2 linked regions of the Xenopus tropicalis genome follow. The protein of the gene in region 1 purifies or fractionates together with the protein of each later gene. This does not show direct contact. Links are inferred from orthologs where the notes say so. Each region holds a gene or a part of one and is shown on either strand. Other genes may lie near its edges.

Evidence for each region.
Region 2: the proteins of aicda (region 1) and ctnnbl1 purify together in Homo sapiens (affinity purification with western blotting; 3 studies listed by BioGRID, with this or other methods). This does not show direct contact. The link is inferred for Xenopus tropicalis from reciprocal best matches to the Homo sapiens genes AICDA and CTNNBL1.

The regions. Positions count from the first base shown.
Region 1 is NC_030683.2:9,024,286-9,035,315, reverse strand, and holds the end of aicda (single-stranded DNA cytosine deaminase), read right to left. Parts: intron 8,596-11,030; coding exon 8,174-8,595; intron 7,154-8,173; coding exon 7,038-7,153; intron 6,707-7,037; coding exon 6,653-6,706; 3' UTR 5,239-6,652; downstream 1-5,238. Other genes in the region: slc2a3 (solute carrier family 2, facilitated glucose transporter member 3), read left to right, coding at 177-364, 1,454-1,558, 2,085-2,186, 2,938-3,141, 3,318-3,518. UniProt on the Homo sapiens protein: Single-stranded DNA-specific cytidine deaminase. Involved in somatic hypermutation (SHM), gene conversion, and class-switch recombination (CSR) in B-lymphocytes by deaminating C to U during transcription of Ig-variable (V) and Ig-switch (S) region DNA.
Region 2 is NC_030686.2:39,419,858-39,431,925, forward strand, and holds the start of ctnnbl1 (beta-catenin-like protein 1), read right to left. Parts: upstream 7,187-12,068; 5' UTR 7,172-7,186; coding exon 7,082-7,171; intron 5,503-7,081; coding exon 5,344-5,502; intron 4,935-5,343; coding exon 4,828-4,934; intron 4,387-4,827; coding exon 4,247-4,386; intron 4,077-4,246; coding exon 3,979-4,076; intron 2,366-3,978; coding exon 2,272-2,365; intron 2,161-2,271; coding exon 2,069-2,160; intron 1,766-2,068; coding exon 1,693-1,765; intron 689-1,692; coding exon 630-688; intron 1-629. UniProt on the Homo sapiens protein: Component of the PRP19-CDC5L complex that forms an integral part of the spliceosome and is required for activating pre-mRNA splicing.

The sequences.
Region 1 (11,030 bases):
CAACATACACCCCCAAATCTTGCTCTGTCTGACTTTGAGCCTGGGCTTCAAGGAACACGTAGGAAAGCAAGGAGAGTAGGGAGACTAATACCAAACGTAAGAAAAGATGGAATAACAGTTTTACCCCCTCCCATTGTGCATTGCTGTAAAGTCACATGATGCATTTCTTCGGCTAGTTCTTCGGAAACTGCGTGGCACTACAGACGTGGCCAGTGATGTCCAAGAGATGAAGGATGAGAGTGCTAGGACGGCAGCAGAAAAATCAGTGTCTATCCTAGAAATCTTCCGCTCCAGCCAGTACCGGCAGCCAATAACAATCGCCATCATCCTCCAACTTTCTCAGCAACTGTCTGGGATCAATGCTGTACGTAACTATAAACCCCTATGAACATTCTATTATACCCCAAGTATCCTTTGTTAGATGCCCTCTCTGCATTCCAATTCTCTCTTCCTTCTTACCCTTCTACTGTAATTGTAACTATAATTGTTATTAGACTGCAAAATAACTGATAAAGTAACCTGGGTCCATTACCCCTGGGTAAGTGAATCCAGTCTTCTCCAAGTACTCACCCCGGTACTGATCTCTCATTCGCTGTACTTTCAGCTTCTGGGGCTGCTCTTTCCCATGATCAGGTTTCACCTACCTAGGTTATGTTCCTATGGGTGCAACTACAAATGGGTCTCCCCTCAGGGGTGTCCAACCTGTACGAGTTTGAACACTAAAGGCTATAAAAGGATGAGCACTATGCTACATGTAGATTTCCTTATTCATAACATACAGGGAACCCTATGAAGTTCCAAAGCCGATAGTCAACTTGTACCATTCATACTACCCTGGAACCCACAAAAAGAGGGTTAAAGGACTAAATAACCAACCTGTGTTCCTAATAATTGCTATTACCTAATAACAATGATGTTGTATTATTCATACTTCCCTCACCAGCCACATCAATGTATAACAGAACATGAAAAAAATAATAAAACCTACATAGATTACCGTATACCGTAAGCCAGGGGTCCCCCAACCTTTCTTCCTTGTGAGCCACAGTCAAATGTAAAAAGACTTGGAGAGCAACACAAGCACCATAAAAGTTCATGGAGGAGCCAAATAAGGGCTGTGATTGGCTATTAGGGGCCTCTATGCACCCTATCAGCTTACAGGGGCTTTATTTGGTAGGAAATCTTGTTTTTATTCAGCCAAAACTTGCCCCCAAGTCAGGAATTCAAACATAACTCCCTGGTTTGGGGGCACTGAGAGCAACATCCAAGGGGTTGGGGAGCAACATGTTGCCCTGAGCCACTGGTTGGGGATCCCTGCCTTAAGCGAACCCAGTGCTTATGTCGGTTTGTAGAGGATTCTCTTGTCATTCCATATCCATGTTCTTCTGCTTTCTCCATTTCTTTTCCAACCCTCTGTTCCTTCTCATCCAACCTCCTGCTTCTCTTTCTACAGGTATTCTATTACTCCACCAGTATATTTGAGGATGCGGGCGTTCCGAACCCTGTTTATGCCACCATTGGTGCAGGGGTGGTCAACACGGTGTTTACTGTTGTGTCGGTGAGTATTTATGAAAACGTGCATTAATGTATCATGGCTCTGTGTGGGTTGGGAAGGTAACTGAGAGCGCCAAATGGAATATAGGGCTCATTTACAAACACAAGAACAAATGCAAAGCTCTAGATTGGCTGCAAAGTTGAGTGTGCATCGAGGCCACTCTAAAAAGTGCTTTTACAGCTATGGGCTTGGCCTAGACTCATGCCCCAGGGAGAGGAAGCACAAGGAATTCTCTAGAATACTCTAGAATCTAGAGTGAATGGGAAGTTGGAAGGTTTCCCCATGCTTGTATGCCTGTGGGCAGGGATTAGGAAGGCTCTTGGGGTCGGGCTGGTGGAGGTCTGTTCTAGCTGCAGTAGGAAAACCATGGGAAAGAGAGCAGCGTGCAGGAAGTACTGACAATCAGAACTCTTTATCAGAGTATTGTAGAGTAGAAATCCATGTAAAATTAAAACCAAGGCAGCAATTAGGGTTATTCTGTCCAGTAAGCGACTCATTGGTTGTTGCTAACGTTGCTGTTTCCCTTTAGCTATTAATTGTGGAACGCGCCGGCCGCCGGACTCTCCAGCTTACTGGCCTTGGTGGAATGGCTGTTGGTGCCTTAATCATGACCATTGCTCTCAAGCTTAAGGTAAGAGTCCAGGCTCCCCCCATGCCTTCTGTTTCTGCTTCTTTGTAACGTTTGGTCATTGTGTCAGAAAGAGGCTTATTTATGGGTGGGCCTTTGCCTGGATGCAAGTTACCAACCCCTTCACATAAGCAGGGGGGCTGCAGTTATAATCGGGGGGTGCTGGCTGCGCATTGAGGTGGCTCTGGGCCCGCTTTGTGCATTCCATTCATAAATGAGCCCTCCATGTATGTAATGGGCTTCACAGCCAAACCCCCCTTGGCTGCTCTTGTACAAAGGCCGGGGGGCTTATTTATCAGTTTTTGAGTTTGTGAATGGGAATTTGAATATTGGGAGTTTTAGCACGAAAAAAACTTAGCAGTATCAGTATCACAGATAAGAATGGCCGGTGGCATAGACAATAGACAGTCCTGCCGTGCATTGTGGCCTTATTCTACTTCCATTTCCCTTCACTTATTTTCCCTTTGCAGCTTCTTTCCCGCACTTCTCATCATTTGTTGTCCCTGCATTACTGCTCAGCTGCATTTACTCTTGGCTCTGCACCTACTCTCCAACTGTTCTACTACTATTCTATGGCCTCTCCCCGCTGCCTCCTACCCCACCAAGCTTTCCACCCCATACATCACTCAGCATCTGTCTTCCTATTTGTCACATACTCTGTGCCTCCTACTTCTCAACCTTCTTCAACCTTCGCTCCTTATATCTTCTCCCACATCACTCAGAATCCCTTATTTAACAACTTACTCTCTTATAGGAACAAGACCAGGCCTGGAGCTATGTGAGCATTGTGGCAATCTATTGCTTCGTAGCCCTCTTTGAAATCGGCCCTGGGCCCATTCCTTGGTTCATTGTGGCGGAGCTCTTCAGTCAGGGTCCCAGGCCGGCAGCAATGGCCATATCCGGCTGCTCTAACTGGACTGCAAATTTCCTTGTGGGAATGTTATTCCCCTATGCGGCAGTAAGTGAGACAAAAGGGTTTTGGGAAGGAAGGTGGGGAGGTCTATTCCTCCTGTTCTTCATAGGGGAGAACTCCGGGGTCTGCTTTCTCAGTTTTCAAGTCACTCTTTATCATCTTCTTTTTTATCTTTTGTTCTATGCTCAAATTCCTAACATATCGCCTTTCCACCTTCACAGAAAGGATGTGGTCCCTACGTCTTCCTCATCTTTATGGTTCTGCTCATCTTGTTCTTCATCTACACGTTCTTCAAGGTCCCTGAGACCAGAGGCCGCACATTTGAGGACATTGCCCAGGAATTTGAGATGCCAGAGAGGTCTAGAACAAAAAGCGACAGTGTGCAGATGACAGGCATGAAAACTTTAGATGAAAAAGTATAAGGGGGCCGATGGTAATCGACTGCCACCTCCCCCAGTCTCTGATGTTGCCATGTTTGCAAGGGTTGTGGCCTTCAGAATTGTCACAAAAAGAACAAGACCCCCCCCCCAATCAGAAGAATATTAGTATATTTATGTGCATCAGCTGACATTCTGAGGGCCAGGAGAGTTTGTATGTGTCTGACTATTAGCAGTGGGATTTAGGAACCATCAGGGGACGGTGCCGTTGTGGAACGATGAACATCTTCAGGCTCTTCATGGCATGGCCTAGTAGCCCAGTCTAGTTCCATGGGCAATGCAGCACAGTGACACGTGGTGTCCCCCACACTCCAGAGACCCCCGACAGCCTTCATTGCTAGTATATGAGACCTCTCTGTGAGACTGTTGATAGGGCAGCGGCTGAGCAGTATCACTAAGTCAGAGAGTGAGCGCAGAACTAGACTGTCAGGCTCAGGGCCCCTGAGTGATTCCAACTAAAGAGCTGCTATGGGACAGCACAGATTTTTAATAATAAAGATGGATTTTTTTTTATAATAAAGGGAATTTTTATAATATAGTTTTTTTCTAAATATAATTTTATATTTTATAAATAATAATATTAATAATAATAAATAGCAACAACAGAGGGACATCATTGCCTTTAGCACAATTTACTGTCTCACAATTTACTGTCACAGCTATTCCCATTCCATTATTCCATTCCATTCCAGTCGCTTCCTCTGTTTGTGCTCCCCCCCTTTTATGTTGGAAAAATAAAACTTTATTTAAAACAATAATTGAAAAAAGATGAACTTTTCATTTTTTTTATTATTATTTGGTTTCTGTATGTGCTCTGATCTTGTACCCACTGTAATGTTACATACAGATAGATAGATAATAGATAGATAGATAGATGGATAGATAGATATATAGATAGATAGATATAGAGAGAGAGATAATATATAGATAGATGATAGATAGATAGATAGATAGATAGATAATATATAGATAGATGATAGATAGATGATAGATAGATAGATAATATATAGATAGATGATAGATAGATAGATAGAAAGATAGATAGATAGATGATGATAGATAGATAGATAGATAGATAGAGAGATAATATATAGATAGATGATAGATAGATAGATAGATAGACAAACAGATATATATAGATGATAGATAGATAGATAATAGATAGATAGGTATATAATAGATAGACAGATAGATAGAAAGATGATAGATAGATTATAGATAGATAGATAGATGATAGATAGATGATTGATAGATAGATAGATAGATAGATAATAGATAGCTAGATAGATGATAGATAGATAAATAGATGATAGATAGATAGATGATAAATGGATATACAGACAGATAATGATTGATTGATTGATCAATGATAGATAGATTGATAGATACTGACAGATAAATGATAGATAGATCAATAGATAAATGATGATAAATAGATATACAGACAGATAGATAGATAGATAGATAGATAGATAGATAGATAGATAGATAGATAGACAGACAGACAGATAGATAGATAGATAGATAGATAGATAGATAGATGATTGATAGATAGATAGTCAGATAAATGATAGATAGATAAATAGACAGATATATAGATGATAGGTAGATAGAATGACAGATAAATGATAGATCAATAGATAAATGATGATAAATAGATAGATGTATCCCAGTGCCCCCCAGTGCACTGCCCCAGGCACCCCAGACCTGCTGGGCAATTGTGTGATTCTCTTGAGATCCATTTGCCCCTCTGTACCCCCAAGTGTGGGCACAAACACCCCAGAGCCCCTTAGGGTGTCAGACGTGGGCCTGCAGCACCGGCTAAATAAAGTCCCACAGAGTTCTGTGCCCCAATTCCCATGGTACCGAGTCTGCCATAAACATACAAACACTCCTTTACCTTGTATTAAATGTCTTTATTAGCAACATCCCTCTGTGCAGCCCAGTCATATCAGTATCATTCCCCAACCCCCCCATCCATAGAGCCCCCGGGGGGTGTTTGGGCTCAGGGTACCGGGCCGGTACTGATTATATAAACACATACTGACAGGGACTGCTTCTGGGATGGGGACAATGACACAAGAACGGACTCTTGGGTGGGGTAGGGGTTAATGCTCACAGTCTGTGCTCTGAATGGAGAAATGGGACGTTACAGAGCTCTGCTCCAATGGGCATGCACTGGGTTATCAGGGGCTCATTTACTAAGGGCAGAGGTGCAAAAGTTTAACCCCTTAATGACCCACCGTGCAGTTCCACTTGCGCCTCCCCGGGCTTCCCAGAACCCCCTGCGTCTCTCAGCCCGTGCCACTTAACCCTTGGAACGCTATAGATTTACTGATTGCTGTATTTCCCTACTGTTACTGTATTGTAATATGAACACATAAATAATACATACATATATGCTACCTGTATGGCTACCTGTATGGCTATCTGTATGGCTACCTGTATAGCTACCTGTATGGCCATCTGTATGGCTACCTGTATGGCTACCTGTATGGCTACCTGTACGGCCACCTGTATGGCCACCAGTACGGCTATCTGTACGGCTACCTGTATGGCTATCTGTATATCTATCTGTATGGCTATCTGTATGGCTACCTGTATATCTATCTGTATGGCTACCTGTACGGCTATCTGTACGGCTATCTGTACGGCTACCTGTACGGCTATCTGTATGGCTACCTGTTTGACTACCTGTATGGCTTATGGCCCCCACCTGATACCCCCCATTTCTCCTGGCATTAATATAAAAGGAACCCTCCCATCACAGCTTGGGGCAGGCACTTTGCCCAAAATGCACATTTTAGTGTTTCTAGGCTGAAAACTGCTAGTCAGGGGGGGGGTTCCATTCCCAGGAATGACAGGAGCCAAGGGCGGAATTGGAACTTGGCCGCCATATTAGCTGGAACCCTAAAGCGTCAGACTAAGTGGCGCAAATAAAAATGTACAAATCCTGCGCCAACGGCACAAATACACACAAGGGATTATATACAGTTTGTGGGGCAAATGTACAGTCGGACCGGTACCGACCCAGGGAACCCGTAAGGGTAGAACAGGGAATAAACAGCGGGACCCTGGGTGAGTCTGATTGGCTCTCGTGGCGTCTGGGACCGGAACCTTCAGAGCCCAAGGAGCTCAAACACGTCCCGTAGATCCTCCATGTCGTACGGCGGCTGCAATAGAAAGTGTGGCCTTTACCAAATTATACTGAATTCCACCCAAACGAAGGGGAGAGGAATGAATGAAACTGGTTTCCTTTTAGTTTGATCCCTTGTAGCTCCTGGGCCCCCAGCTAAATCCCTGTAGGGCCCCATTACACTTAGGGAATATATATAATATACATATATATATATAGCGCTCATAGGGCTCCTTATAGCTTCAGGGCCCCCAGCACCCAGGGGATCCACCATTGTACCCCTGTTCCTTTCCCATGATTCCTTGTGCTTTATATTAGATATATTTACATTATATTAGATATATCTATATGGGCCCCCCCTGCGTTACCTGCAATATGCGCCGGAGTTTCCGCGCCAGTCGGACCGAGTTCTCGTGCAGTCCGTCCCAAGCTTCAAAGCGCCGCTCCCGGCTCTCCACAAAGGTGTTCCAGCAGTAGAAATAATCTGTTACACGGAGGCAAAGGGAGAGGGAAATGGCGTTTATCCCTACAACTCCCAGCAACCTTTGCGTGACTATTGGGAGAAGCATTAGGCCTCATTAGGCCATTCGGCAATGGGCAGTAACCCACGGCAACCAAATTCTTGCATTCATTGCTCTACCCAGGGTCGGACTGGGGGGTGCAGGGCCCCACCCCCCCAAGGGACCCCCACCGTGCCTCCCCCCACCCCTGCTGCCCACCCAACCCTCTCCCCCAAGTGCTTATACTTAGGTAAGTTGGGAGAGGGGGACCTGCGGGCCCGGGAGAACCCAGCAGGGATCAGTTCTAGGCTGCCGGGGCCCACCAGGTTTTTTCCCAGTACCCCACTGGCCCAGTCCGACCCTGGCTCTACCTGCAGCTGGCTGAAAAAAGACAATCACTGATTGGTTGCTATGGGTTACTGGCCATGGGCAAACTTGCCCAGTTTTCATAAATGAGCCCCAGCTTAGATACTGGAGGCTATAAAATATAGTTTATTGGGTTGGATTACAGCGTTGTATTGGGTCCCACCGCCATTAGGGGGCAGCTCTGATCCCCGTTAGGGTTACAAAATGCCGGAGTGCTCACCTTGTCATAAATAATAGAGGTGCAAAGACACTGGAGAAAACCCACTCAGTAACCCCAAAAATAATCACAAAAGCAAAAAGTATCTGCACACTCAGAAAAAGTAAATACAAAAAAAGTTTTATTAATTACAAAATCATATCATAAGAAAACAAAACCCAACGCGTTTCAACCCAATAAAGGGTCATCATCGGGGGCAAAAAAATTGCCTGCATGCCCCTTTTTTAAATTTTTTTCCCCTGATGAAGACCCTTTATTGGGTTGAAACGCGTTGGGCTTTGTTTTCTTATGATATGATTTTGTAATTAATAAAACTTTTTTTGTATTTACTTTTTCTGAGTGTGCAGATACTTTTTGCTTTTCTGATCGCCATTAGGGTCTGATTTGACCTGAGACAACAGCCAGTGCCCCCCCCACTTACCCTTGTAGCTCATGACAGCCAGCCGCACCCCCGCTTTCTGCAGTTTCCGCAGCCCCTCCGGCTCCGCGTTGCGCTCTTCGCAGAAATAGAGCCTGGCGCTGAAGATCCGCAGGCTGAAGTTGGGGTGTCCCTTTAAGAACTCCAGGGTGCGCTTGGCACAGTCGTAGCAGGGGCTCCAGGAGCTGAACCAAGTGACTCGGTACGCCCTGTGGGGGTCGTGTCCCACCCAGACGGACAGGTACCGCAGGAAGAGCATCTCCGCGTGGCAGCCGTTACGGTTCCGCAGGTACCCGAAGTCCAACGCGCAGGAGACTGAGCTGTATCTCCGCTTCACTATGTAGCACAGGTAGGTCTCATGGCGGCCCCGGGCCCAGCGCAGGTTCTTGTAGTGATAGAGAAACTTATTGCGCTTCAGCAGCAGGCTGTGGGGAGACACCTACCGGCTCAGCAATTCAATATTATTCTGCTACACTTGCCCTTTAATCTGCAGCCCAAAGGAGCAGTGGGACTCAGTATTTACAGCATAAAGGACACTTACCTGCCCCACAGGGTTCAAAGAACTGCCCTGCAACTGAACATTGCACTCTCCTCATATATATTTGGAATATGGGGAAGGAATATTACTTGGGGTCCCCAGTACAAGGTGGGGTAGAAGCCTTTACCTTCCCAGTAACTGGCCCACTGACTCAGTAAGGGGTCCCTAAGCCTCCCTGACCGGCTTCACAGGGGGCTATGAGTTGGACTCACACTGTTCCTTTACTGTATAACTTGCAAAGTAAAAATGCCCCATTAGCTCCTATGCGGATATTGTTTTGGCCACTAGAGGGCGACACAGTACGTATTTTAATTATATGTAGATATTTTATTGGCCACTAGATGGAGACATACTACGTAGTTTAGTTATATGTAGATATTTTATTTATATCTCGTAGTTATATGTAAGTATTTTGCTAGCCACTAGATGGCGATATTAGAGGCATTTTAGTTATAAGTAAATAAAAAATATTGTGTAAATCCAAACTGTTTGGAAAAAGCGTGTCTGTAAGCATTTGCCTACCCCTGCCAAGCTGTGGAAAACTATTAACTATAACAATCGGGGTCTGGAACCCCCCAAAAAGACACATTTAATACATGTAAGACACTTGGAATCCCGCATTATGATGATTATGATTTTTCCTTCCAGAATAGTTCCCCTTGTTGCCAGCAGGGGGCGGCTGGGGGCCGTACGGAGAGACCGGCTCTCTATTTGCAGTTGGTTTGGTTTTTATGAGATCTTTGCGTTGCTAGGGCGACTGGTGCAGTTATTATAACTGATATATATATATATAACTGAGTGCCAGTTCCCACATACAGCAGCCCTGGGCTAATGACTTGGATCCCAGTAGAATAGTGGCCCATCCTGGGTCACACAGGGGCTTATGGGGGAATGTACTGATTGGGGTCATCAGCCAACCAGGTTTTGAGCTAAGAGCTGAAATCTGATTGGCTCAGGGCTCAAAAGGCACTGTGGGCAGCGCTGCCATACTGATTACATAGTACAATACAGATACTCAGTTTGGTGCCTGTGGGGCCCCTGGTACTGTCCCTGGTATTGGTACCCTACTAACTGGTACTGTCCCTGGTACTGGTACCCTACTAACTGGTACTGCACCTGGTACTGGTACCCTACTAACTGGTACTGTCCCTGGTACTGGTACCCTACTAACTGGTACTGCCCCTGGTACTGGTACCCTACTAACTGGCACTGTCCCTGGTACTGGTACCCTACTAACTGGTACTGTCCCTGGTACTGGTACCCTACTAACTGGTACTGCCCCTGGTACTGGTACCCTACTAACTGGCACTGTCCCTGGTACTGGTACCCTACTAACTGGTACTGTCCCTGGTACTGGTACCCTACTAACTGGTACTGTCCCTGGTACTGGTACCCTACTAACTGGTACTGTCCCTGGTACTGGTACCCTACTAACTGGTACTGTCCCTGGTACTGGTACCCTACTAACTGGCACTGTCCCTGGTACTGGTACCCTACTAACTGGCACTGTCCCTGGTACTGGTACCCAACTAACTGGCACTGTCCCTGGTACTGGTACCCTACTAACTGGCACTGTCCCTGGTACTGGTACCCTACTAACTGGCACTGTCCCTGGTACTGGTACCCTACTAACTGGCACTGTCCCTGGTACTGGTACCCTACTAACTGGCACTGTCCCTGGTACTGGTACCCTACTAACTGGCACTGTCCCTGGTACTGGTACCCCAACTAACTGGCACTGTCCCTGGTACTGGTACCCTACTAACTGGCACTGTCCCTGGTACCCTACTAACTGGTACTGTCCCTGGTACTGGTACCCTACTAACTGGTACTGTCCCTGGTACTGGTACCCTACTAACTGGCACTGCCCCTGGTACTGGTACCCAACTAACTGGTACTGTCCCTGGTACCCTACTAACTGGTACTGTCCCTGGTACTGGTACCCTACTAACTGGTACTGTCCCTGGTACTGGTACCCTACTAACTGGTACTGTCCCTGGTACTGGTACCCTACTAACTGGCACTGTCCCTGGTACTGGTACCCTACTAACTGGTACTGGTACCCTACTAACTGGCACTGTCCCTGGTACTGGTACCCTACTAACTGGCACTGTCCCTGGTACTGGTACCCTACTAACTGGCACTGTCCCTGGTACTGGTACCCTACTAACTGGTACTGTCCCTGGTACTGGTACCCTACTAACTGGCACTGTCCCTGGTACTGGTACCCTACTAACTGGCACTGTCCCTGGTACTGGTACCCTACTAACTGGCACTGTCCCTGGTACTGGTACCCTACTAACTGGTACTGTCCCTGGTACT
Region 2 (12,068 bases), on another chromosome or scaffold:
TAAATTTTAAGCAATAGTTTGCCTTCCAATCACAGGCATGCAATGGTTACTTCCCCAACCTAAAGCTAAAGCTAATAATGAGGGTTTCTACCCTAAATAAATGAAAGAGATAATAGTAAGGGGCACATTTATCAAAATGTGAGTTTAGAGCTTAATACATAAAAACTAACCCATGTTCTATTCATTCGTGTGGGACTTTTAGAAGTGTATTTATCAAGGGGTGAAAGTTAGAACTCACCATTTAATAAATACATTTCTAAAAAACCCACAGGAATGAATAGAACATGGGTGAGTTTTTATGTATTAAGCTCTACTCATATTTTAATAAATCTGCCCATAAGAGTTAAAGCAATCTATTTTGTTTCTTAAAAAATTTTCAAAGATAAGTAAACTGTTGCTTGGTAGCTGCAGAGCAGCAGTGATAAGTTGAAGTGACAGCACTAATATAAATGGCAGAGAAAAGGGAGATGAAGTCACTGGAATTCAGGGTCAGTAAAGCGGAAGGTGTGACAGTGACAGGCAGTGGGTGTACATTGACATTCTCTAGTAAGAGCTGAGACAGCAGTCTGCCATTGTGCTCTCTGAGTAATGCCAAGGTGTAAGAGCAGGCAGGGGCGGGAGGCACTCACCGACAACTGCTGAAGCAGCACATCTATTCCGTCCAGCTCCCCCAGTAGCTCCCGAGTGTCTGAGAGAGAGAGGGGGACAATGTCAGAGAAGAACAGATCCATCAGCAGAGGGAATCAATACACAGTGATGGGGTGGGGGGAAGAGGCACACAGTAGAGGATAAAAGAAGAGAGCAAGCATCATGGAAGCTATGCAGTGTCAGAGAAACTGGATTGTACAAAGATAAATATGAGAGATCACTGGCAGATAAAAGGTAAAAAAGGAGCTTGGCTGTAGAAATGAACCCTTGTATAAAAATTAATGGGAATATTCCTCTTCCTTAGATGCATCATGTTCTGTTGAAACAGAAAAAATTCTGTGCCCTTTTACACAGCGGTGCTTGAAAGAGTGTGAACCCTTTTGAATTTCCAATATTTCTGCATAGACATGGCCTACGAAAGGACCCTTTTTTTATGTCCTTAAATCAGATAATGGGAGTTGCTACTAAATACCATTGGTAATGCGTATTGCCCTGGAGGAACTGCAGCCCATTTCTCTGTACAGAACAGCTTCAACACATAGATGTTACTGGGCTTCAGCTCCTTCCACAACATTTCTATAGGATTAAGGTCAGGACTACGAAACGAACTTTAACCATTTTTTGCTAGATCAACATCTATGCCCATATTAGGAGCAGAACCGCTCACTTGGCGACTATGGCTACCTTAATTTACCCTTCAAATGAACTGAGAATCCTAGAGGGTTACTTACCTTTTTATCATACACAAATGTCACTTTGAAGTGTAATGTCTTTTACCTGTTTAATTGGATTCTTATTATATAGTTTTAGTACTGGCCAAGTCAAAATCCTGACCTTAATCCTGGAGAAATGTTGTGTAAGGACCTCAATGTTGATGTGCAGGACTGACCAACAGTTTCTGGAAGTGTTTAGTGGCAGTTAACTTAAACTGGGATCACAAACTTTAGGTGTACCCAAGGGTGTGTGTATAATATATTTTTCTGAAAAAAAATGTATAGGAAATCAGAAAAAAATAAGAAAGGGGAGGTTAGCAGCTCAACTCACCATCGTTGTTCTGTAAAAGAATGGCCAGGATCTCACTGCAGTACAGCTTGTTGGCATCAAACGGCATCTTGGCCTAAAGGGGAAAAAATTAACATCAGGAGGAGGATGCAAAATCAACACCCGAGAGGTAAAGTAAGAATGAAAAATTCCCACAGAATCTAATTCAAGCAAAATACCGAGGGAGGCAATAAGAAACGCATGCATGTATAACAGTGGTATTAGAAAGCAACAAAGGGTGGAAGTGAACCCCCACCACCAATCAAAAAGGAGAGGGCACATGCCGCCTCCACTGGGAAAGGAAATGGAAGCACCACCATCCCAATACTGGAGTAGGGTGGGACCATTAGACAAAAGCATCAGCATCATGTTAACCAACCTTCAGTCTTTTGAGCAGCCAATGGAGGAGTCCCTGCTGTGCAGCGTCTGAGCATATTTCAGGGCGAAACTCCGTCATATTCTCAATGATTGCTATGATAAGAAATGGGAAATGTGAGTATATGCTCAATCACACTCTCAAAGATGGCGGCATTGAACATTTGACCAAAATCATGGTTCAGGTACTTGTATGAATGTCTTTACCTAGGGTATTGTGAACTCCATCTGCCTCCTCCTTCGTAGATTCATCCAGGCGTTCCAGATTCTGCACCAGGAGAGCAACGACTTGACCTTCCAACTGAATAAAAGGAAAAAAAGAAAAAGAATAAGGCTGTGGGCAAAGTGCAAGTAGGAAGAACAGAGAAATCAAGGCCACAAAGAAACAGCTGTAAGATTTACACGTGTCAATGAAATCCTAGGTGAATCCAACAGTAGAAAAGTTCAGTGTATTTTTATTATGGGCCTATAAGGGGTCATTCACTTTTACGTTAAGTTTTAGTAGGTTATAAAATGACTTAATCCTTTCAATTGGTCTTTTTTTTGTTTGTTTTTTAATTATTTGCCGCCTTCTGCCTGTTTTTAGCTTTCAAATGGGGGTCACTAACCCCCACAGTCAAAAACCTTTTCTCTGTGATGCTACAATTTTAATATTACATTTTATTAGTCATCCTTCTTTCAGACTTACTCCTATTCATATTCCAGTCTCTCATTTATATCACTGCCTGGTTGTTAGGGTCTTTTTGACCCTATAGCTGCTGAAATTCTAAACTGGAGAGCTGCAACATAAAAGCTAAATCATTTTTTTTTCTAAAAAAAAATAAAAATCATAAGTTAGGGGTCAACAACCCCTTTAATTAGTGCACTTTTGTTTGAATTTCCTTCAAAGAGAACAGCTAGAGCCAATGAAGTGGCTATATGGGCCTCTTTGGAACATGCAGAAAGCACATATGAAACAAATAATGAGACGTATCGATCCCAGTACTAATTACATCATTTATAGCCCACTTAAAGCAGCATTTGGAGGATCAGGTCAGCTCCCCAGGAGATAATAATTTAGAGTTGGATCTTACACTTCATTGCTCGAGTGTATTTCCAATCTTCTATATGTCTGACATTCACATTAAATTGATTAGGAAGAATTCATTACAGTGACTGCCCTCATTGGCAGACCTCCTATTCTACTAGTAGCGTAGGCTACTGGATAGATTTTTTTTTCTTTATCTGCCCTTTTCCCAGCAAAAAAATAATTTGGATAATGATTTAGACATATCGTGTTAATGTTGTCGGAATACATAGTTTAGTTAATAATGCCAGATCCTGGAGCAGTTGCATTTTTTTCATTTTTGCTTAATTAAAATAATATACAAATACAACACAGATTTTCAACACACTAAACTCTTGTTAAAGGGGAGTCACCTCTCCTCCCACCAACACAGGTGTGTTAGTCTACTGTCTTTTCATGCACTTTTCAAACCACTGAAAGAGGGAAACACATACAAAGCCATACTATGACACAAACAGCCAACTAAACCACACCAGACCTGGACCACAAACTGGTGGTTTGCCTATAGCCAATTCTCAGAAGTGCATGCTGAAATAGATGTTTCTCCTTCCATAAGCCAATTCTATTAGTTGCCCCCTTAGGGTAGTAGCAGCTACTTTTTCACGGCTAAACTCCAAAAAAATAGCCTGCCATAGACAATACTGAGAATTGCCTCTGCTAAAACACATGTTGAGACTGTTATCAGTAAATGATCAGCATTGTCTATATTTTAGTAGCCACTACTAGTAGCTGCATATGTCTTCACACTTTAATAGTAGCCAATTATGATTACCTGACATATTCCCTTCTTTCTGGCTTCTGGACAAACAAGGATAAGGAGAAAGGAAAGATCTAAATGTGTTACCTACCAGTGCATCTATAAGGACCTGGGCACCCTCTTCGCTCTCATGAAGTGTGTCAATATCCGTTAGTTCCTGCAGCAGGTCAACCACAGCAATGCACACATGTGGCAGGCTAAGGAAGTATTAATACAGTTGTGCGAACACCAGAATAAGGGAAAAATATACAAGCACATACACACGTAAGATCTATCCCCCCCATGCACCAATAAGCTCCACAATTGACAGTGACAAACACAACCAAAGTTACCTGCTTTATAGACATATAAAAGGATATCAGTGTTCTCATGGCTTAACAAGCCAAGCAGTGACTGCACAGCATTGAGCTCCACAAGTAGATGGTACAGATCTGGTATAGTGGCAATAACATGCATCTCCTGGATAATATCATTCAGGTCTAGTTCTGACTCCATGAACCTAAAAATTTTTAAAAAAAAAGCAGAAAAAAAGTTTGCATTTTCATTGTGCAAGATAGGTGGGAGACTCTCAACATCATATTAAAAAATGGAGGCAAAGAAACTAAAATGCAGACACGCCCAGGGTACAGGCAAAGCAATGAAACGCCATAATGACCCATAGTTCTCTTTCTTTTCTAAGTCACTGTAGGCATGGGAAGAATTGTAGTGTATAGGAAACCAGGATACATGCCAAGTTTATTGTAAATAAAGTGGCACAATCGTGGGTCACAGGCAAGTGTCCGTGGTTTATATTTATATATCAGGGTACGTACAATGCCTCAAGTTATAGTTGTCATGCCATGAGATGTATTTCAATAAAAGCTGGAGGCTGCAGGTTGGATTATATACAATGGACAACATATACAGGATACAAGCAATGTACTGCAGTTCTAGAACTTACTTCTCAGGGTTGTCTGGGAATTTGATACGTAGTTCTTGGTTCTTGTAGGATCTCTTTTCGAAATTCAGGATCATCCTTTTCACTGCACCCTCATCCAGTGTTTCATTCTGTGTCAACAATAGGGGACAAATTAATAGCGACCTAACAGGTGTCTGTTGGTAAACACCCAGGCAAAGACCCATTTGAAACATATAAGACCAGCATAGTGCCACAGCTGGCAATAAAACCAAGCCAATCAATAGGCTCTAAAGGACTACTATAAACAGAAATATAATAGATTATGAAAAGTATCCAGACAACTGGCTGTTCCAAACATTATATTGTCGGGATACTTGTAGCCCATGGAGGAAGTCCAGTTATGTCCATGTGTTACCAAACCTAGCTGCTGCTTTGCACAAGGCATGCATGACATGAAGTCATAAATTTTGCAGATTACCAGGACTTTAGATACATTAATCAGCAGTGGCACAAACTTTCCAATTAAGCAGACAAATTAAACTGCAAGAGTTTTCTCACCTCTTCCTCATCATCACCATCATCCAATGCGTTCCTATCCTCCTCTGCAGTTGGCCCCCGTTCCTCATCTCGGTGCCAGTTCCTCCCTCCTCTTTCTTTTCTCGGTGGTCTCAAGTCTTCCGGTTCATCATCTCGCCCTCGTTTTGTGCCTCTGTCCGGCTAGAAAGAGAAAACAAGGCAATACTATAGATATGTATATAGTGGAAAGAGTAAGTGACATCATGAATCCTTCAGCTGGTAAGTGGGTTGAACTAGGAAAATACAAGAGCCTCTTGTTTGCTTATATTATTAGGTTGCCAAATAAACACATCCTTGCAGGATTGGATTGGGTGCTGGGGGGGGGGGGGAGCCTGGACACACTGGGCAATTTATCACTTCGACTTTTTAAAAAGTATTTTGCAGCGACTAACCCACCACAGATTTCTATATAAGTCGATGCGACTAATTGCACATCATTTGCGCTGCACGGATTAGACGCTGCAACTTTTTTTTTTTCATCCTAAGTGGCCCAACAACTTTGAGGCCACTTTTTTCTTACTAGGAAGAGCTCTTTAGGCCTTATCACTCCTGATTAGGCAAAGCAAGGCAGTATCTGGCCAAGCTCTGCTTACAATGGGCTCCTGTTCTTGCAATAAGTCTTGTGAATAGGGCTGTGGAGACAATATATAAATCCTTCTACTCCAACTCCTCAACTTATGGGCACCTCCAACTTCAATTCTGTGTACCCAAAACAGTGGCAGTACCCAGACAGAACTAGAAGGGCTTTAGAGTCCCTACATAAATCCTTTGACTCCTCAGTTTAGGGTACTACCGACTCCAGGTAACCAAAATTGCTTCCCACACCAGATCCTGCTTGTAAAAGTACTACCCTGCAATCATTTATTTAGAATCTCACAAGAGAAAGCATGATAAGACTGTACTTAGACAGCCATGGGACTAGCAGGAAAAACAATTCTGTCTTGGATACAGAATTGCATGCAAAATTAAATAGCTGCAGTCAGGCCCATTGTGAAAATTGGTCTCTCTGCTCCATTTCAGAGCACAAGTGCTGCTAAATGATCACTTTGGGGTACCTGCACTTGCACCCCCAGGGGTCAAGAATGCCCCTGTCAATTACACCTGTGTGCAGGTTTAGTTTTTTCTGACTTAAGGTCCCCATACACCTTAAGATCCGCTCGCTTGGCGATGTCACCAAGCAAGCAGATCTTCTCCCGATATCCCCATCTACGGGTGGGTGATATCGGGAAAATCCAGGTTTGGGCCAAACAATCGAATTATAACTACGGGTATAGGCAAAGCCGGTTCGGGGACCGCCTCAATGAGCTGATGCGGTCCCTGATCCAACTAGATTTTTAAACCTGCCCGATAGAGATCTGGCCAATTTCAGGCCAGATATTGGTCGGGCAGGCCTGTCGGTAGTGCCCATACACGGGCCGATTAGCTGCTGAATCAGTCTAAGGGACCGATATTGGCAGCTATAATCGGCCACCTTTAGAGCAAAGACACACGGAGCTACTAGTAGCAGCTTCTTTTTCACGGCTACTAAACTCTAGAAAATCCCCTGCCATAGACAATACAGAGAATTGCCTCTGCACACGTAGGAGCAATTATCGTTAAATGATCAGCATTGTCTATTTTAGTAACCATGACAATCAGCTGCTACTAGTAGCTCTGTGTGTCTTCACCCTTATTCTCTAAGTGGCCACCCCAGCCAGTTGTGTACCTGCGGGTTACCTACACGGTTGGGACATGACGTAGATCCCAGACGGGTTGCGACTGCTTTGCGGATATCCCGCCGGTACCCAGCCCATACAGGAGCAGACTCCATGGTTCCCCTGCATCAATAGATGAAACTGAGCGTATCTAGCACAGGAGGCAGGAAGGACTGCGCAGCGCTGATCATAACCATAGGCAAGTGCAAAAAGCACAAATCTGATGATGCAAGTTTCTCTAATAAATGGGATATTTGGTGCAGGCCTCAGCACCCCTATTAACTCATTGATTATCTTAGCACCCAGAAAAGACTTTGTCTATTCACTCAGCATAGCACTGACCCAGGATACAGGCAGCACAGTGTAAGACATTCTCTTTTCTGCCTCTATATAAATCTAAGTGTTACGTCTTGTTTTAAATCGCACGTCCATACACATTGCGCTGCACTACATACACATTGCGCTAGCGTTAGTAAAACCCTCGCAGGACGCGGTAGTCCTGGAACAGCTGCGGGTAACTGCGCTACAGACTAGGTAACGCTACAGAGGGGACACAAGCGGATTATCCTGTTTGCGAGCTCACCTGGTACCGCAACAACTCCCCCACATCCATCTCAGCCGCTTGCCTTCTCAGCAGCACAGCGCACTTGCCGTAAAGTTCCTCGCCGCCGGAAACCCAGCGACGCACTTCCGGGTTGAAGCGCTGCCTACTTGCAGCACTGCCCTAAAGTGATGTGGCGCTTATTAATGTGTTACTATAGTGCTCAGCTTACTCTTTTGTCAGTCAAGTTCAGTCATATAATAAAAAAAGATCGCAGTTGAGGTTTAGTAACATTCCTGCAGAGCCAGAATGTTGTTTATAATTCTTGTTGTCTCCCCACTATACTGATAAATGTAATTCTGAGGCAAGAACTAACCCCAAACCTAGTACTGGGCCCTGGGCATAAGTACAAAAGCATTAAGGGGTGTTAAAGTGTGCCCCATACTGTTGCCAATGTCATTAAAGAGTTAATTCACCTTTGAGTTAACTTTTAGTAAGATGCAGTGTGTGGTATTCTGAGACAATCTACAATTGGTCTTAATTTTTTATTAGCTTTATTTTCCCGCAGCTCTTGGGGCTCTGGCACATGGGGAGATTAGTCGCCCACGACAAAACTCCCTGTTCCCGGGCGACTAATCTCCCTGAGTTGCCCTCAGTTGCCATCCCACCGGCGAAAATGTAAGTCGCCGGTGGGATGGCACACGCGGCGGCGCGATTTCGGCAAATTGCCGAAGTTGCCTCGCGAGGCTTTTTTGTCGATTTGCCGAAATCGTGCCGCCGCGTGTGCCATCCCACAGTTTGGAATTTCAGCAGTTATCTGGTTGCTTGAGACAGTTATCTGGTTGCTTGAGACAGTTATCTGGTTGCTTGAGACAGTTATCTGGTTGAGAGAGTGAATAGAAAGATAAGTTATAAAAAGAAACAATAACAAACAATACAGCCTCAAAGAACAAATGTTTTTTGGCTGCCGGGGTCAGTGACCCCCATTTGAAATCTGGAAAGAGTGAGAAGCAGAAGGCAAATAATTCAAAAACTATAGTTGCTTAGAATTGGCCATTCTATAACATATTAAAAGTTAAAAAGGTGAACTACCCCTTTAATAGGGAAAAAACATTAAAATATAGGACGGCAGGTATTTTTTTTCCCGAAAATGGGGCAAACCATTTGTGGTCAGGCTGCCACAGGTTGAGTGCAGAGTCTAACAGGCTAAAGACAGCTCTGTGCTTACTACCCGTCAAAGTGCCTATGGTATCTATAGGGGGGCCCAGAAAATTTTGTTGTGAGGGGCCCCGTTATTTCTGATGGTGGCTCTGTTAATCAATACAGCACTGTATTTATGGGGAACACAGGTCTCTCCAGTCTTCTGTGGAAAATACATGCCTATTGCAATATTTTAAAGGGTAGAAAGAGCAGTAAACATGGCAGATTGCTCCCTGTTTTGCATGTTGTGTACTTGATAACTTCCCAGAGTGGATTACCCCAAACCCAGGGACTGCACAGGGAGATTACATATAGTTGGCAACTATGCTGATAGATCCAAGAAATTGCCCCTGGCACCCAATCACTGGCACCCATGTCAATGAATGGATCAGTCCAGTTTGGCTCAGCATTGTTGGCTGCTACTACACTTGTGGAAGCGACACAGCCATTGCAAATATTATTGAGACATTAGTTGTCTGGCATTGCTTTACATAGCAACCATCCACTGGACTGAGACCCCAAACAGGCCCTGGTATTTGCAGTAGAGAGGCCCAAACAGCTCCCCATCAGCCCAATAAATAGTGTTTATGGGATCTTATAGCAGCCCCTCTGGAATTTGCCGAAACCATAGAGGCGGAGGCTTTCTACTGAGCCAAACTCATGAATAACAACAAGGGCATTTGTGCATTAATAGATAGAATTACTGTCAAGAAATAAATAGAGTAAATTATAGAAGCAGCATAAAACCAGGAATTACATTAAGGGTGAAGACACACAGAGCTACTAGTAGCAACTACTTGTCATGGCTACAAAAACAAGCAATGCTGATCATTTACTGCTAATTGTCTCTACATGTGTTTTGGAGGCAATTCTCAGTAATGTCTATGGCAGGGTATTTTCTGGTGTTTAGTAGCTGTGACAAGTAGCTGCTACTGAGTAGCTCCGTGTGTCTTTACCCTAAGGGCAGTGGCACTTGGGGAGATTAGCCACCCGATAAATCTTTGCTATTGCATTGCTTCAGTTTCAGTCGCCCCTGAAGTTGCCCCTAAAGGGGTTGTTGCACCATTGACTTTAGCTTTTAGTATGAGGTAGAGAGATAGACAATTTTTAATTGGTACCATGTAAAAATAAAAGTGGACCTGGCGAAACCTACACCACTGTCTGATTGAGCCCCTTCACTGAGGTTTACACTTTGTGGCACACGGGTTGTATTTTCTTTTGTCACAATTTGTAATTGGTCTTCAGTTTTATTTGTAGTTTTTTACAGGGTCAGATTGGGGTGGGGGGGCTTAAGGAAAAAACCCAGTGGGTCCCAACCCTTGTGGGCTATACTCCCTCTGCTAACTGCAGGTGCCCCCCATTGCAAGGAGGAATTGCAGTATACCATGAGGGAGGGGGTTTCCTGGGGTGGTGGACTCCCAGACAGCCGTTCCGGTGAGCCCTGGACACTCAGTCTGACTCTGGTTTTTTTTATTATTTCGGTTTTGTTTCAGCTGCTATCTGGTTGCTAGTGTCCAACCTACCTTAGCAACCAGGAAATCAAAAGGAACTCAAAAAAGATGTCTGTAGTAGCTCAAAATATTTGAGGTAAAAACAAAAAGTTTATTGAAACTTACACATAATGCTTACAAAGCCTTACGCGTTTCGTACCCAAGGGTACTTAGTCATAGGTTACCTTAGCAACCAGGTAGAGGTTTGAATAAGGGCCTGAAATCTGAATAGGAGAAGAACTGGCTAGAAAAATAAGTAAGAAAAAGTAACAATAACAATACAAATGGAGCCTCACAGAGAAATTGGAACACTGAAAAGTTGCTTAGAATTGGCCATTCTATAACATACTAAAATGTTTACTTGAAGATGAACCACCCCTTAAATGTTTTGGCTCCTCTCTGTTTCAAACATCGACCCAGTGTCGGACTGGGATGCCAGGGGCCCACCAGAAAACCCTAGACCATGGGCCACTCGCCAAACTACTGTCATCCATTTCTTACTCAGTCTCAATACTTTACTAGTTTTTTTTATCTTTACATACTGTAATGTATTCTATATATTTAGTTGCTTTGTTCCCATAGAAAAATAAGAAATGACCATGAATTAGGCCAAATGGCTAAAAGCAGGAGGGCCTACTGACACCTGGGCCCAATGGGAATTTTGCTGGTATCCCGGTGGGCCAGTCCAACACTCATCTTAACTGAGTGCAAAAATGAGCTGTTGCAATGACTTAAAATGGTGATAAGAGTATCTACAGGCAATCGTTATTTGGAGCAAATCAAAAGCTACATAATAGGTGTGTAGCTACTCAAATGTGGCTATACATGTTAACATCCATTTGTTTGGCAAGGTCACCAAACAAGCGGATCATCTACCATTTTAACCACCAAAGATGGGCTATTTCAGCTAATTCAGCTGATTCGATTGTTTGGCTCTAGGGCAGTGATCCCCAACCAGTGGCTCGGGGGCAACATGTTGCTCCCCAACCCCTTGGATGTTGCTCTCAGTGCCCCCAAACCAGGAAGCTATTTTTGAATTCCTGACTTGGGGGCAAGTTTTGGTTGAATAAAAACAAGATTTACTCCCAAATAAAGCCCCTGTAAGCTGATAGTGTGCATAGAAGCCCCGAATAGCCAATCTTAGCCCTTATTTGGCACCTCCATGAACTTTTATGGTGCTGTTGCTCTCTAAGTCTTTATACATTTGACTGTGGCTCACCAGTAACAAAAGGTTGGGTTACTGCTCTAGGGCAATGACGGGTATAGGAGCCATAAGACAGGTTCAATGAGCCAACATGGATCCTGATCTGATGGGAAAATCAAACCTGCCCAATTTTTGAACAGATATAATTTGGGGGGGCCCATACACAGGTAGATAAGCTGCTGAATTGATCTAAAGGACTCAAAATGGCAGTCTAAATCTGCTCGTTTATGGCCACCTTTAGGTTAAGTATATACGGTACTATTGGGTGATCCTTAGATGTAAATTTAAGTGGAAGTAAAATCAGCAAATGATAGAAAATAATCAGTAGCAACAGATTATAACAAACAGAATGTGCATTGAAGGACGCCGGTGGCAGCAGACTGTGACAGAACGTGTTAATGCATCTACTCATTTCAGAAACTTGGCTAAAAATACCCCCTGCAGTGAGCGCTTTATATAAATACACTGTGGGCTTAATGGACCGAACATTTACAGAGATGTCAAGACTTCTAATTACAGCTGTGCCATACAAGGGGATACGGAGATGGAGCAAAGCAATGATTGGGGAGGGAAATTAT